Arabidopsis thaliana: one gene and its partner. The main gene of each other region encodes a partner of the protein of the gene in region 2 in a complex. Each region holds a gene or a part of one and is shown on either strand. Other genes may lie near its edges.

The links.
Region 1: AUG4 (region 2) and AUG2 share a complex: the UniProt entries of both Arabidopsis thaliana proteins name them as parts of the augmin complex.

What each region holds. Positions count from the first base shown.
Region 1 is NC_003071.7:13,995,396-14,003,047, forward strand, and holds AUG2 (HAUS augmin-like complex subunit), read right to left. Parts: upstream 4,555-7,652; 5' UTR 4,321-4,554; coding exon 4,198-4,320; intron 3,866-4,197; coding exon 3,740-3,865; intron 3,581-3,739; coding exon 3,476-3,580; intron 3,203-3,475; coding exon 3,134-3,202; intron 3,016-3,133; coding exon 2,902-3,015; intron 2,528-2,901; coding exon 2,174-2,527; 3' UTR 1,930-2,173; downstream 1-1,929. UniProt on the Arabidopsis thaliana protein: Contributes to the assembly of the acentrosomal spindle and phragmoplast microtubule arrays as part of the augmin complex.
Region 2 is NC_003070.9:18,783,175-18,791,198, forward strand, and holds AUG4 (HAUS augmin-like complex subunit), read right to left. Parts: upstream 4,629-8,024; 5' UTR 4,442-4,628; coding exon 4,307-4,441; intron 4,226-4,306; coding exon 4,178-4,225; intron 4,031-4,177; coding exon 3,905-4,030; intron 3,817-3,904; coding exon 3,484-3,816; intron 3,326-3,483; coding exon 3,229-3,325; intron 3,079-3,228; coding exon 3,033-3,078; intron 2,693-3,032; coding exon 2,599-2,692; intron 2,403-2,598; coding exon 2,331-2,402; intron 2,256-2,330; coding exon 2,197-2,255; intron 2,114-2,196; coding exon 2,045-2,113; intron 1,950-2,044; coding exon 1,898-1,949; intron 1,789-1,897; coding exon 1,711-1,788; intron 1,608-1,710; coding exon 1,545-1,607; 3' UTR 1,335-1,544; downstream 1-1,334. Other genes in the region: CPK33 (calcium-dependent protein kinase 33), read left to right, coding at 40-192, 286-401, 483-856, 952-1,051, 1,137-1,211; AT1G50720 (Stigma-specific Stig1 family protein), read right to left, coding at 6,006-6,470. UniProt on the Arabidopsis thaliana protein: Involved in microtubules reorganization during spindle and phragmoplast development.

The sequences.
Region 1 (7,652 bases), on a different chromosome or scaffold from region 2:
GCGAACAAAAACAGCCGGAGAAATTTGAAATCACACGGCGAGAAATGGATCAGAGAAAAAATTAAAAGCACCATTAATGTAGCAACAATAACAACCACAAATCAAAACCAGAGGTTTAGGTTTATCACCAGAGAATCAATAAATCCGGAATTTGAAATTTGAGAGATAGAGAGAGAGAGAGAATTTGGGTTTACTTGGAATGGAAGAAGAGAAGAATATTTCCAAAGAAGACGTCTCAGGGAAAGAGAAGGGTAAAATGGTAAATTTGAAAGCCGAAGAAGACGGAGGAATGAGATTGCGTAGTTGTGATGGCGCCAGGGTCTCGTCGGTTTTTAATCTTCACCGGAGCACGTTGAAGAGAAGCTCTGCTTATGGATTGGAAGATATATAAACGCGTGGGATAAGGTCCTTCTTTGGCAGGCGCGTGTAGTTTCCTATTTTCTTCAAATTACATAATGGTCCTTTGAGACTTGATGTCTTCTGAAAAGCCGCAAACTAATAATGCATCTTTATTCAATGAGCACTAAAATGGTATTTTCTCGCATCATGAAAAATTGATATTATCTGTAACATATTTGCATGATTGTCAAATATTTTTGAGACTGTTAGATTTAGATTTTGTTGTTTAGATTAGAATATGTTTTGTAGATTCGATTCTTTTGTATAATTTGTCAAATGTCTTACAGAAAATGAACAAGAAATAATGAATTGTAAACAACAAAATAAAAATAAAAATCAAAAATGAAGCAATAAATCAAGAATTTAAGACATGAAAATAGGTGTCGAGAGTGGGAAATGGACGCATGGACAATGAATTGACATTTGACATTAAAGTTATGCTTTGAAAAGTGTATCATCGACATTTAAAGTTGCGAGAAATACGAATATTCATCGCCTGCGTCGGTACATTAATCGCTTGCACATATTTATTCGTTTCATTTAATTGCACGCATCCGAAATTTAATATATACTTGAAATGTGAGAAATTAAATAATCTCAATTTGTGTGTCTGGAAAATGTGTAATAATGAGTATAATCGCTAAACCGAATAAACCAGAGGTTGGTCTGATATTTTGGTTATATGAAAGAGTCAATTTAAAAGGACACGCGTTCGGGCGCGTAAGGATAAGGAGTGGGCCAGGAACAAATCAAAATTTGGACGTATGTGATCGATTCTGTTTCGAATACAAAAACCACGGAAATATATAGATAGAGCTCGTGGGTGGGTCCTTAACGCCGCTTTATTAATTTTAGCTACGTAATTATTGAGTAACCAACGCAAGTGATGTCTCTCAGTTAATCTATATAAACCTATATATGATGCATTATTGCAATTTCACGTTACATGCATTATATCAATACTCTAACAACAAAAGTGTGTTCCATTTTAATATGAATATTGAGATCGATCATCCAGATTCAACTACTTATTTGATTTCATGTAATAATTTTCCATCAGATAACTTTGAATAGTTGAATATAATAGTCTTTCATGTACTGTATATCATTTAGAAATGTTGGCCATGGATTGGCAGTGAACCTATGCAATCTAATCTGATATGAATTTTATATATAAGTGGTATTTTTTTTATTGCAAACACTTTTGTGGTTCGTTTTATAGTTTTAAATAGTGATGAGTTTTACAGTTTAAATATCATGTAAATGATATATGAGGTTTTATTGTCCAATTTACACAAACTACTTTTAAGACCAGACCGGGCTATGTAACTAGGTGGCTAAAATATGATTAGGTGCCACCGGTTCTCAATTAAAGTTGTCTTAAATTCATGGTCTACTCTCTACAGTCTACATACTACAATATTTAGACCATACGAGTTATTTAGTGGAACGATTGTGCCTATGAATGCTAATCCTTTTTTTATAGACCCCTCTTTAGATTTCTCGACTAAAACAATTCCCACATCTATGAAATATTTTAATTTTGCGGTAGTTTTGCCGCGGTCTGCCGCAGCCGCAAGCGGCGAACAAACGAACAGACTAAAATATGATAGTCACATGGACCATGAAAACCAGTGTTAACAAAATATACACTGTTTTAAGTTTCACTCAAAGACTATCAAATAGAAATAAGTAAATCCATAAAGAACACTAATGCTGATGAAACAAAACACGATCGATATTAAAAAGCTCAAGCAAAGACAAAAGCAACTGTTTAAACGCTACTCTTTTTTACAGAAGGAGGCCAAGATAGTCTCCGGTTCCCATTGTTATTACCATCTTCTTCTTCTTCTTCTTCTTCTTCTTCTTCATTTTGATCATTGTTTTGTCTCCTTGTTTTATGAACAGCTAAATCGTCGAAGCTTGACTCTATCCTCCCTTGAGGTGGAGTCACACAATCTGAGTCTCTATGTGTCATTTCGTTACCTCCTGGTGTTGTTGGTAAAGAAACTGCAGAGTTACCAACTCGAAGCTCTTGAAGAGTCGCGAATGATTCTCTCATCGCAGACATGGCCTCAAAGAATCTCGTGCATGACGCTAGTGCCACAGGTATTGGACGCAGCATTTCCTATAATTTTGTTGGGGAAAAAAAGAGTAGAGAGATTGAGATTATAGCATGTAAAACCGAAATCAACAACTGTTATGCAACACATTACGTAAAAGTAGCAATCTCCTTCTCTCTTGATGCAAAGAGTTTAAACACATAGAAATCTAATTCAAGGACCTGATGACACAACTGATCCTTCTGCAATGTATTCTATACAGTTAACGCATGGCGTAGTGTAATACAGTGCTTTCCTCTTACACTATGAACAATGTATTAGATTCCAACTGAAATGAGTAATCCAATGTATGCAACTAAACATGTGGAGTTATGTCTGAAAGTCAAAGATGTAAATGGAAAAAAAATCAAGATGCATGTAAAAGAGAGTAAAATCGTACCCCCCAGACTGAAGGAGGTTCTTTAAAGTTTTGGCTCCACTGAAAATCAGACACGGATGCTGTTAAGGCGCCATAATCACTGGCGGCTTTCATTAGCAACTCTGAGAATTGTTTCTGAAAAACAAAGCAGAACAAAGCCATTAAACATAGCATCTTCGTTTTCCAGTTGTGCAACTTCAGATACTAAATAAGGTCCTCAAAGTTGCAAATAGTATAAAATGGCATGAATCACCTGATATTCTGCTTCAACTGGAATGCAATCTAGCGAATAAGGTTGTTGGAGACGAGCAATGATGCGATCCTGTTATATAAACAGACAAATGATGTAATAAACTTCAACTAGAGGGTCACAAATTGACTAAAAGATAAGGCAGTCTTAAGACGTACTCAGAAGCTAATGTTTCGAAAACATCTTAAGGAATTTTCTCAATTTTCAGAACGATAGTGAATAAGAGGGATATCGCTTAAAGACAGAAAAGAGAGATAAATGAACTCGAAAGATACATAAACCTTAGTCCAGAAAAAAAAGAGAGAGAAGATTTTAGAGGTAAGTAGAAAGGAAAAATGATCCTACCTTGTTTTGTATAACATCTTTCAATATTTGAGTAATCCTTGACAAAGTCTCGATTTTCTTTTGCATTTCACCAACATGAGTCAAATGCGCCACATTTTTATCATCCTGAAATTCGCCAACAAAAGAAGTTATATACAAAGCATCTAACAAAAGTTGTTACATGAGATATACCAATAAGTTATCATAAGGCTTCAGGCAATGCAAATACTATGATCCATATCTTATTTCAATTTGAAAAAGAAACCAAAACCATGAGAAAGATACCTTCCTCCCTTGAAGCTCGACCTGCAAGTCTGCAATTTTCCTTTGAACAACAGATAACTCTCTCAATACCCTTATCAAATCATCACCTCTTTCCCCATTCGAAGACGCAAAGCTTTGTAATTCTTCCTACATCGGAAAATGATTGAGCCAATTGAAGAGATAACTAACCATAAATATTCTCTACTTGATGAAAAATTCAGATTCAGTATATAAAAGCCAAGAGATCAAAGATCTAATCAAAACATATGGTCCAGAGATTCGCAAAACTAACAAGCAGCTAAAATTCCTCATTCCTCAGAAACATAATCTCCTTCAAATTATAGATCTCTCATACGCATTGTTCTGCAAAGTCAATCTAATAGCATACAACCCAAAGCATATGCTATACTCAAGCTAATGGAACTAACCGGAGACGCAATTCCGATTCGGATGAGATTAAAGTGAACAAGAGAAGTTACCTGCGACGGAGGAGGAGCGACGGCGAAACCGAGATCGGAGGCGATAGAGAGAGCATCAGATAATCCACCGATGCGTCTGATCGGCTTCTTCCCAACCCACGTCGTGTCGCCTCCCATCGACATCTTTCGACGAGCTTTCCGGAGATTAATTCGACGGTGGCGGATCCAGATTGTTATATATAAAACCAAATTCAAAAATATTCAAAAACTTTTCGTCATGCCATTAAACTCTTTTCTTTTTTTCCTACTTCAGTAATTTATACTTTACTTTTGTATATGTAAAATTGTAAGTCATCCAACAACTTCACAAAAATACATCTGAAGAAGAACCGAAGACCAAAATGGGCTTAGCCCAGAAATATGCTGAAGATAGCCCAACATGCTATTACGGACGGTCGAGAAATATGGACACTGAGATCTGCTACGTGACGGAACGAAAGCAACCCGACAAAAACCAACCAATGTAATAGAAACTAGTGGTTTGTATTAGTATTGTTGATATGCCATTATGAAAAAATGTTGTTGAATAACGAGAATTTAAATATATTTGTATTTAGAAATTATAACATCAATATATGGTAACCTTGATATGGATAAAAAAAAAAAAAAAAAAATGTTTGGTGTTTTTCAATTAGTCTTTCCCTTTTTCATTTCTTTGTACAATACATAAAGCTTTTTACGAGTTATATATTAAGTTTCTTTTTTATATATATAAAGAAATCATGAGCTGAGCTGTATATAAATTCTTAGCTTATTTCTAAATTAATAAAGCTTGAATCTTTCTTAAGATTGTTTTTAATAAGATTGCTCTGAGAAGCTTCTAGCTTATGGCACGTTTATTAATTGTAAAGTCGAAACAATGTGAGACCGTCGGTGGGAGATTTATGAAATATGGAACGTCTAGAAGCAAAAAAACATATTTTGATCTAATAAAAAGTTCTTCACTTTATACTAAAAGACTCTTTAATATCAAAGATTTGACAGATCTGGTTATTAACATATTTATTAACTAAAAACATTGGGATTTGATTGTTACATTTATTTATTTTATACCTTGCATTTAATATTCTGCATTATTATGGATCGCCAATTTTTTTATTCTGCATGGATTTAAGAGAGAGAGGGAGAGAAAACAAAACCCATGCATAGAAATTTCATCGACCGACTCTTGTCATATGAATCTAAAATAATTATCAAGAAAAATAAACACATCAAATCTGCTTAAATAAACAAGAATTTAAGTTTTCCCAAATGAAATTAAACCATCCTTTCCCAAATGAAAGTTTGAACTCAGCACCAACAACAAGCAAAATTCAATCCTTCTCGTACTCACCAAATAAGCTAGACATATGGGGTTAATAAAGTTTATTCGCAGCTCATTTGGTTCCTTTATGATATTATACTCAAGCTAAGTAATGGGTTCGATTCCCATCTTCTCATTTCTTTATCAAAAAACAAGTAATAAAGTTCCTTAAATATTGTCTTAAAATACTATCGTAGTAACTAGTAAGGTGGAATATATAGTGTAACTTTGGAGCTTGAGGTCGTCGGTGATGTGCTGGTACGAAGAGACACGTGGCGCTCAATCATTTGAAAATAATTTAGTTTTTTTCTTTCTTTTGGAATATGGGAACCACCAACGACAACATTATTAATTCCATAGATTCGGAGTTAATTGAGCGGGTTGCACGAACCACACCACACACCAGATGCCGAATAAAATTTTATGCATAAGCTAAGCGAATAATCAATGCATAGTTAAACTTTATAAGACTGATATTTAACGACTGGATTATCACAACTAAGAGGCGTTTTATTTGTTTTAAACATTTTAATTAAGTTATTAATGGTTTGCGACTCAAGACGATAGGAAACGACCATCTTTTTCTACTCATGAATATTTGAAAGAATATTGTTCTTGCGACAACTGATCAAGCTACTATCTTTGAAAAGAACGTTCTTCTGCCAGTCTACTGAAGAATAACTCAAAAAATGCACTTGGGGCTCACTGATTTTTAACAACATTTCTTTTTATATACATCCTTTGAAAGAAAACTGAATCGTAGCAAAAACTAGACTAGGAAACTGAAAAAAAAAAAAAAAAAAATTAAGAGGAAGACTAGGAAAACTGAAAAAGAAAGCTTTATTAAACCAGCATGCAACACAACTTAATCATATGAATTACTTTGTTTTTTTCCACATTAGTTGCCGTCTGATTAATTTAACACATTTGAAACTATAGTCATCTTTTTGAAGAAAAAGTTCACTAATAAAAACAGAGAAAATCCATTTAAAAAAAAAAGACATTTTAAAAGAATATCGAGTAGGATTTTTAATGTAAACTTTATATAAATTTTATAATATAACATCAAATCGAAACTAATTTTAAAAACTAACTTTATTTTATAAAAGATACAGTATAATGAAAGTGTATAAACGAATTTTGTTGTGGATCAACATGAAAATTAATTAGTTTGTCAACAGCTATTCATATAGTTAAATGATACAAGTAATGATAAACAAATAAACGCATGTTCCCCGTTAACAATTTTTACGTCTCCATGCTTAGTGGCGCTAATCACCTTTTTGGTTCGCTCAAGTCAAATTATTTTGACCAAGTTGTCGGTCGAGCTAGCTCGAAGGTAACAAATAGTTAGGCCCACTTTGAAAATGTCGGTGCTCGGAAAAAAGATAAACCGCTAAATTAAACCGGTCATCATGAAACTCCGGAAACCTGAATTACTGCCAAATTTATGGTTGTAGGCACTGCACACGTGTAGGTGTCTCTTAGTCCCCATTGTCATACCCCTCAGTTTTTATTGGTGGTGGGCAAACTTATATTAAGATGACCCAGGTCCATCTTTCAAACCCATTTAGATCCATCCTATATTTTTGAATGTTTGGTGTTTTTGCTTTAGATATCAATAGAGGTGAATAAATTAGTATTCATACTCTGCAGATTTGAGTTTAACATTTGTGATAGTTTTTGTAAACTTTATAATTTGTAACAGTGAACCCAGCCAAAACCAAAGTTTTGATTTGAGAAATTAGCCTTACTATTCACGATTCTCTCGCCTAACACAGCAGCCTTAACGACAGAAACAGAAACGAATCTCTGCCTAGCAATGACATTCTACGGTTCCGAAAATTTATTAGTATTAATTGGACCGTTTCATGGAAACTTGAAATAATTAAGAGAAACTAATTAAGAGACAAAATCGTCCACTTTAACTGTTACACTATCAACAACTGACACTCTCCTTCTACTTTTCAAAATTACACAAGATCGCTAAATACATTGAAATTATCACCACCTTTTGAAACAAAAATTGAAATCATTAGGAAAAGTATCATAAAACACCCTCTCACACAGTACAAATGTAAAATTTCAACAATTGTAAATAGTATGTAAAATGACTTTACTACATGCACTTTTAATTAATTCGGTCTAGATT
Region 2 (8,024 bases):
TGTGTGTATGAGTATGGATTGTTGGCTTTGGGAATGTAGAAACGGAGAAAGGGATATTTGATGCTATATTGGAAGGTGAAATCGACTTTGAATCCCAACCTTGGCCCTCAATTTCCAATAGTGCTAAAGATTTGGTACGTAGAATGTTGACACAAGATCCGAAAAGACGGATTTCTGCTGCTGAAGTTCTTAGTAAGTAAACGATCTTATTCTTTGTTGGTTATGGTAACTTCTTGTATACTTACTTGAATGTTGACAATATGGTTGATGTTTTACCTTTTGAAGAGCATCCATGGCTAAGAGAAGGTGGAGAAGCATCGGATAAGCCTATTGATAGTGCTGTTCTCTCAAGGATGAAGCAATTTAGAGCGATGAATAAACTAAAGAAACTTGCTTTAAAGGTTAGATCAAAGATTCTACACCTTGTTGCCAGATTTGACAGTCCTTTGTACCTTTCATCTTACAGATTGATTTTGACACAGGTCATTGCGGAGAACATTGACACGGAAGAAATACAAGGCTTAAAGGCGATGTTTGCTAATATAGATACAGACAATAGTGGTACTATCACATACGAAGAATTGAAAGAAGGATTAGCCAAACTGGGATCAAGACTCACTGAAGCTGAAGTGAAACAGCTCATGGATGCTGTAAGTTTTGATCAAGACAAGATCGTTCATTTACTTCTTGAATGTTTAAAAACTCCTATTCGGGTTTTTGTGATTCAGGCTGACGTTGATGGAAATGGGTCAATAGATTACATTGAGTTTATTACTGCAACAATGCATAGACATAGGCTTGAAAGTAATGAGAACGTTTACAAAGCCTTCCAACATTTTGACAAAGATGGGAGTGGGTAAGTGATCTTTCTTTTGGTATGAATCATTTTGCAATGTAAATAGATTTGTTAGCAATGATTGATGAGACTATTACTGAAAATGTGTTTAATAGATACATTACGACAGACGAGCTAGAGGCTGCTTTGAAGGAATATGGAATGGGAGATGATGCTACTATCAAAGAGATTTTGTCTGATGTCGACGCTGATAATGTAAAAGCCAAAAGATTAAAGCTCTTCGCCCTTGTAACGTTTTTCGTTTTCTTTCTCTGACCTCAAATTTTGTTTCTTGTTACAGGACGGTAGAATCAACTATGACGAGTTTTGTGCTATGATGAGAAGTGGGAATCCACAACAACCAAGATTGTTCTAACATATTTTATTTGTCTTCTGTCTGAATCTAATCAAAAAAGACAAGAGTGGTATTATTATTGTTGTTTAGGCAAAAATTTAAGGTTGAAAAGAGAGAGAGAGAGATGATTGCTTTCATTTATTTTGGTACTGCTAAACTGGTCATCTCATTTGGTTTGAAGGACCAATAAAAGTATATAACAGAGGAAGATAACACAATGTAAGTAGATTACAAGTAGTGGACCACATAGCTAGATGTATATTTAAATTATACTGATTTTTTCTCCCAGTTCAATCTTTCTTGGAGGATTAGATTTGCTAATACATATATCACAAGTGTTAACAAATCTAGTGATCAGTCATGAGACTTAAGGTCCATTTCTACTTGATGAATGGTCCACTGCATATTTTCCAGTTTCTGCAAAACCATGAAAGCTCTCATTATAATTCGTGTTGTTGTATTCCCACAAGTCAAATCAAATTTAGAAGGTGAAATGACTTAAGTAATGACTTGCTTGTACCTTAACAATGTCATGGTACTGTCTGGCAATTGTATCAAAATGCGGATCTACTCCTTGATATTCTCTAAGCCGAGTAACCTGTGTGTCATTTCGCAGGCTCGGTTAATTAATCGGGAGTAAAATGCCAATGAAGACTGAACAAAAGGGTTTAGTGCTAAGCAATGTAAGAGAGGATAAAGACACAAACCGCTTTGTTGTATGCAGCTGAAGCTTCCTCGGTAGCCTCGACTAGATAATTCCTAAAAAAATACAATAATGCTTGGAGGTGAGAGACGGGGTCATGGATTTATCAAATACATGGAAAGAAACATGTCTGGAAAATAGATTCCCGCACCTGATGTTGTGCAGAGCTGATATGGAGTCAGGGGTGTATGTCTCAAGGAGGAGAACATTTTCCAAAACCCTTCAAGCAGAGAAAGATAAGATATCTTAACTACTGCAATAGCCTGAAATTTAGATCCTAAACAGTAAAGGATGAGATTATACCTTAATTTTGCATTCATGGTCTCACACCTTTTACACAACCAAGTCTTCTGCATCTCATTCTGTGACAATATATAGAGTAAGCTATATATGAACAGGCAGCATTTAAATCAATTGGAAAACACTGAAACCCTTACATATTTGTGTTGATGTTCTAACTTTAGATCCTTCACAAGCTTTATAAGTACCCCGAGTATTTGTTCCAGGACCTTGTTCAGAATAAAAACGAACAGTCATCAGAACTTACTACAACTAGGGGATACATGGATAATTGACAAGTAGTAGCTTTCATATACATGTAGAAATTTATCTATAAAAAAAAAAAATTTAGTAAAATATCATGCAACAGCCCAGTAATTAGATTTTCGGTTTGCATAATACAATATGAATATTCTTTTCACCTACATTGTAATATTCAGCAAACTTCCTGTCAGCCGAGTACAGGTCCTCTCGTAGAGCTGCTTCATCTCTTTCAATCTCCTCAATTATAAACTTAACCCTGAAATGCAAGAAAACACGGTCACTCATCGGTACTAGAGAGCTTAAGAGGATGGCTAAGTGTGAGAAAATCATTTGTTCCTTCTAGACTTTTAATAAACTTTACAGAGAAACAGAATACTATCACGAACATAACTTTTTCTCTATGGCTATGATCCCATCATCTAAAAGAGGCTTTCAGTTGCATTTCGCTACCATATGTTTACATGTATATCACATTATGTAGATATATATATCCCTAGAAAGGCCAGTTGCCATCCGTCTTCACTAAAACCATAACGCTATTAAGTTTTTCTTTTAGATGTCTTTAGGCATAGTTAAACCATAGTGATAAAGCTAACCTTTCTGGGAGCCTAGCACTTGAATTTCGATTTCCTGTGGACGAATCTGTCATTTAATGAAGAGTATAAGAAAAATACAGTCAGGATTGGCACACAACTTAACATAAAGTCCAAGTATCACATTGGACAGGAACAAATGAATTTGGGTAAGGAGCGAAAGACCTCTTTCTCTGTCTGCTAGTAATGAAGATCTTACCAGTGTCATCAACAATGGCATCAGCCAACTTATCACATTTTTCCTTCAATCGACCTTCTATCTCACGGGCAAGAAACATTTGGTAGTCAGCCATGTCCTAAGCAAAGTTATTTAAAAGAAAAAATTAGATACTCAAAGATATCCATAACCCAATCTTTCATAAGAATTGGTGCAAAAATATTTCGCAATCAGCAGATGAAGGAACAACATAGTTATGAAGACACCAAAAGTAGGCACAGTATGATCTCACATTACCATGGAAATAGTATTTTGAAGCTGAACATAGGATAAGTAAGCAGGTGTTATTCCAAGAAATCGATTCGGAACACCACCTACTACGTCAGTATCAACAGCACTAAGACTAATCCCACCAGCAACACTATTTGCAGAGCTATTCGCATAGTTCACGGAGTTAGAAGTGGAGCTAATCGTAAAACTCGTGCTTGCACTATCAAGAGAGCTTCTTGAAAGTATACTCCACTTTTCAATCTCTTCCTCATGAATTTCACCACCATCTGAAATAAGAGGTAGCCTCAGTTTCTGAGCCGCCTCAGCAACCACCAACCTATGCTCTAGAGTCTCATAAACCTAAAAAAAATCAACAATTATGCTCATAAATGAGTCTCGAGATAACAAATAATTCCAGAAAAAAAATCACGTTTTTGAGATTAGAAACCTGAGGAGAATTCTTCAAGCCAAGTTGAGGGTATAGACCTTGAACATCACGAATTCCCCCATGGTTAGCTACTGAAATAGCTTGCTGATATTCTTCAACCATAGCTACAGCTTCACAATAAATAGCCTAACAATTGTAAAAACTAATAATGTGAGTCCTTAGATTGAATCAAACCCTAATTTGAACTAATCAGCTTCAACTTCAATAAGTGAATGAAGAAAATCCTGAAATTAAAATAAACCCCAAAAATGGAAGAAGAGATAAAAGTGTTACCATAGCTTCCAAATACCGAAGTCTCTCCCGAGACATCTCCTCTCTCGCCTGCAATGTCGATACAATAACATTTGAGGCTCTTAAAGAGAATTAGGGGATTGTGGACACAAAATCTGAAAGAGAGATTACGAGTTGGAGATCGGAGTAGACAGATTTGGTAACAAGAGATCCATCGGGAGCCAAACAGTGACGCTCTAACTGATCGATCAATTGGTTGACATCCGCCGGTAGATTCTGAGCCGCGCCTTGCAGTGCCTTCACCATTGGCGGCGATAGATACCTCAATGTGACGTTTTCCAGCGAGAGATCTGCTTCGATCTACCTTTTGCCGCGACTGTTGATTCAAAAACTTATTCTCAGGCGCTCCATTGCCAATTCTCTCCCTTAATAATTTATCTTCTTTTAGATTTTGGGAAAATCGTTAAAACAAAATCTTTTAAAAAAAAGTTACCCGAACAAGTTCAGCCTGACGAGAAAAAGTTAACTTAAGACTCAAATAAGCATAAGTTAACTTTTTACCTTGGGCCAGTCAACTTCAGATAAATCTCCTATACTAAGTAACGAAATCAATTACATGATACGTAGTAACAAAAGCTATCAACGATGTTCATAATGTGTGCATGAAAATGTGGTAAGTTAATATGAAAATCTTTTAAATCACCTCAATCGGTAAGTAAATCGGGTGATCAGAGCCGACATCCCTTAGACAAGGAAAGTCACCTAAATATTTCAGCTTAATTCCCAACACTTTGGTGAAATATTTATATACCGTAGTCTTAACCTTCACCGATTCTTAGTTTTTTGTTTGTAAACTTTCGAATAAACCTAAATAAAGCAAAGAAATATATCTTATAATAATGAACATAAAAAGTATATAAACATAAGAGACATACATTTGTTCATTGTAGTGATCTTTACTTAGACCAAATATCATGTACTCTTTATCATCGTGTAACGTCTGAATTTTCCGACTTTTTAAAATGTGTTTAGCCTCTTTCCAGTCAAGTTCACCAGCCGAAGGATTCAAGGACAATATCCCATGAGTAAAATGCAAGAAGATGTAGTCGTTGCCCCTTGATGATTCTCTGGATTCGTTAATTTGTTGATTGACACTCAAAATCTTTTTTTTGAAACTTTGTTTTTTTTGGCAAAGTTCTCATAGCTAGGTTCAACTTTTGTTAAATCTCAACTCTTCATTTCTTTAATGTTATTCACATTCCTATCAACAAAATAAATTACTTGAAACATCTATAATATCAAATAATTTAATAATTAATTCTTCAATTATTCACTTAAATAACAAAATATCATCACATATAATATAGAAAATGGAATAATAGATGTTATACGGTTCATAAATTTGATTTTTTTCTTTGTTTTTTTTTCTTGCATATTCTCTTCATTTGTTTTCAAACTTTAGGCGTCATCTCTAAGCTTCTCTTTTTTTTTCAAATAATATTTCATCTCTAGACAAAGTTTATGTTTGAAAATCACTATCTTTTTTGTCATATAGAATATTTTAATATGTAAAATGGAATAATATCTATTATATGGTTCATAAATTGTGAGATTTATATGTTAGTAAAGGCTTATGAAGCCATGCACTGCCAGATTATTGGTCCATGGAATAATAGATGTTATATGGAATAATATCTATTATATGGTTCTCCATTTCTTGAACCTTTTTGCAATATCAAACATTCAAACTCATATCACAAAGAAAACCAATCTAGTCGTATCAAATTATCGATTAAAATTTATAAATCGAAATAAACAAAACACTAATAAAATACCAAAGTTTAACATATAAAAACTAACTAATCACATATCATGCGTAATTACACAACCCATAGACACAAAACTCACCAACCAAACAACTATGGTTGCACTCCCCACAATGCCTCTTATCATAAGCTAAGTAAACGCACTCTCCTCTACAACAAGTCTGCGTGAACTTGCATTGGTTCTTACATGCGCCACAGTTATCGTTATCGTACGCCAGATCAACACACTTGTTGCTACAACACGCCATGGTTGAGTTGTACATTCCTTGACTCTTGCATATCTCCTCTTCTTTATTGCAATGATCCGCTGCGTTAAGATTACGACCGTTCTTTGCGTTTTGCGCTAAGAAACGGCTCACCCTTCCCGTTGTAATTAGCGTTTGCGTCTGCGTATGCGTTTGTAACAACGTTTCTGTTTTGTTGTTGCTAACAAATACTGTAGCAATGAGTACCATTATGGCTATAGAAATGGTTAGAAGTATTGTCAATACGGTATTTCTATGCCCCATGTCTTTTTTCGTTTGTTAAAAAGAGAAGTTGAGAGAAAGAGAGATTTGGGATCGTGAAATGTATTGTTAAGGACGAGGGAAATAGAGTTTATATAAAGTTTGACGAGTCGTATTATTCTGTAGTAGCTATGCATGTGATGGAAATTGAGTAAAGTACGTTTAAATAATTCTTCATTAATGTTGAATATTTTTATCACAAAGTCCAAAAAATTTGTAATTAGTTTTCCAAGAATTTTGAAAGTTCAAGTTTATATTCAAAAGAACTATTTTGTCCGGTAACGTAAGTTTGTGTATTTTTTCGGGTCTTGGTTATTATAAGTTTATATCTTTAGATCCAATTATGAACGAAGGAAGCGGGAAACATATATGTATGTTCATCAAAAATTAAAGCTATTTGACTCCATATATTTTACTCTTATCATCACTTATATAATTCTGCATTGGATCACTAACTATATATCCTACTATATTATTTGGGAAGTACATTTTAAATGTAACATTAATTTTTGTAATTAATTACATGACAATGCCATTAGAAAAATTTAATAAAAAAAAATCTTTAATGACGTTATTAAGGTTACCAAAATCATTTAACGACAATATTCATCTCTTAATTATAGGGCTTATTGGATCTAAAGACGGGTTATCAAAAATTTTCTAAACTGAAGCAAAATATACTAATATTATTTTTTAAAATCTTTAATATTTTATTTTTTAAGACCACTAATATTAAACATATCAAATCATCCTAATTTAGAAAAGATTATATAAAACCAAAAATGTTTTGTGGTATGTATAATGTTACTATATAAAATTAAACTATAAAATATAAATGTATTAGAGAATGGCAAAACTTTTATATATAACAAATAATTCTTAAATTTTAAAAATTACTACTTTAAAAAAAAATCACGGGACGGGTAAAGAAACTATAGAACGGGTTTTATTTTGGAATTGGGTTATATGGTGGATGTATTTGAATCAATATTTATAAAATTTTAAAATATTATTAATAGGCTGTTTTAACAGGGGTTAAAACTTCAGTTTTTTAACAATTGTCTCATGGATACGTGGTATAGTGTTACTTAATAACAATTATAAACTGTAAAATATAAATATTTTATAAAAATAAAATTTGCAAGTTTTAATATATATTACTTTTAGAGTAAATCGTCTCGCGGTATACCGCGGGCTAAAATCTAGTATACATATATTATGCTTCTTGGGTTCAAGCTTACCAAATCTTACTAACGCATTTGACATTATAGCCACAATATAAATTATCCTACTATATTATTTGGGAAGTACATTTTAAATGTAACCTTAATTTTTGTAAGTAATTACATAGGTATGCCATTAGAAATAAAATTTTAAAGAGTAAATTAATTTATCTCTTTAAGGATTAAAAAGTCAAATACTAATTTAAATAATTAAAATTAATTAAAAAACGAAATTATTATTAATTTCTAAAAATAATAACCAATCAAAATCAACATATAAGATTTGATATCTAAATTTTATTTAATTTAATTTAATTAGAAAAACGAAATACAT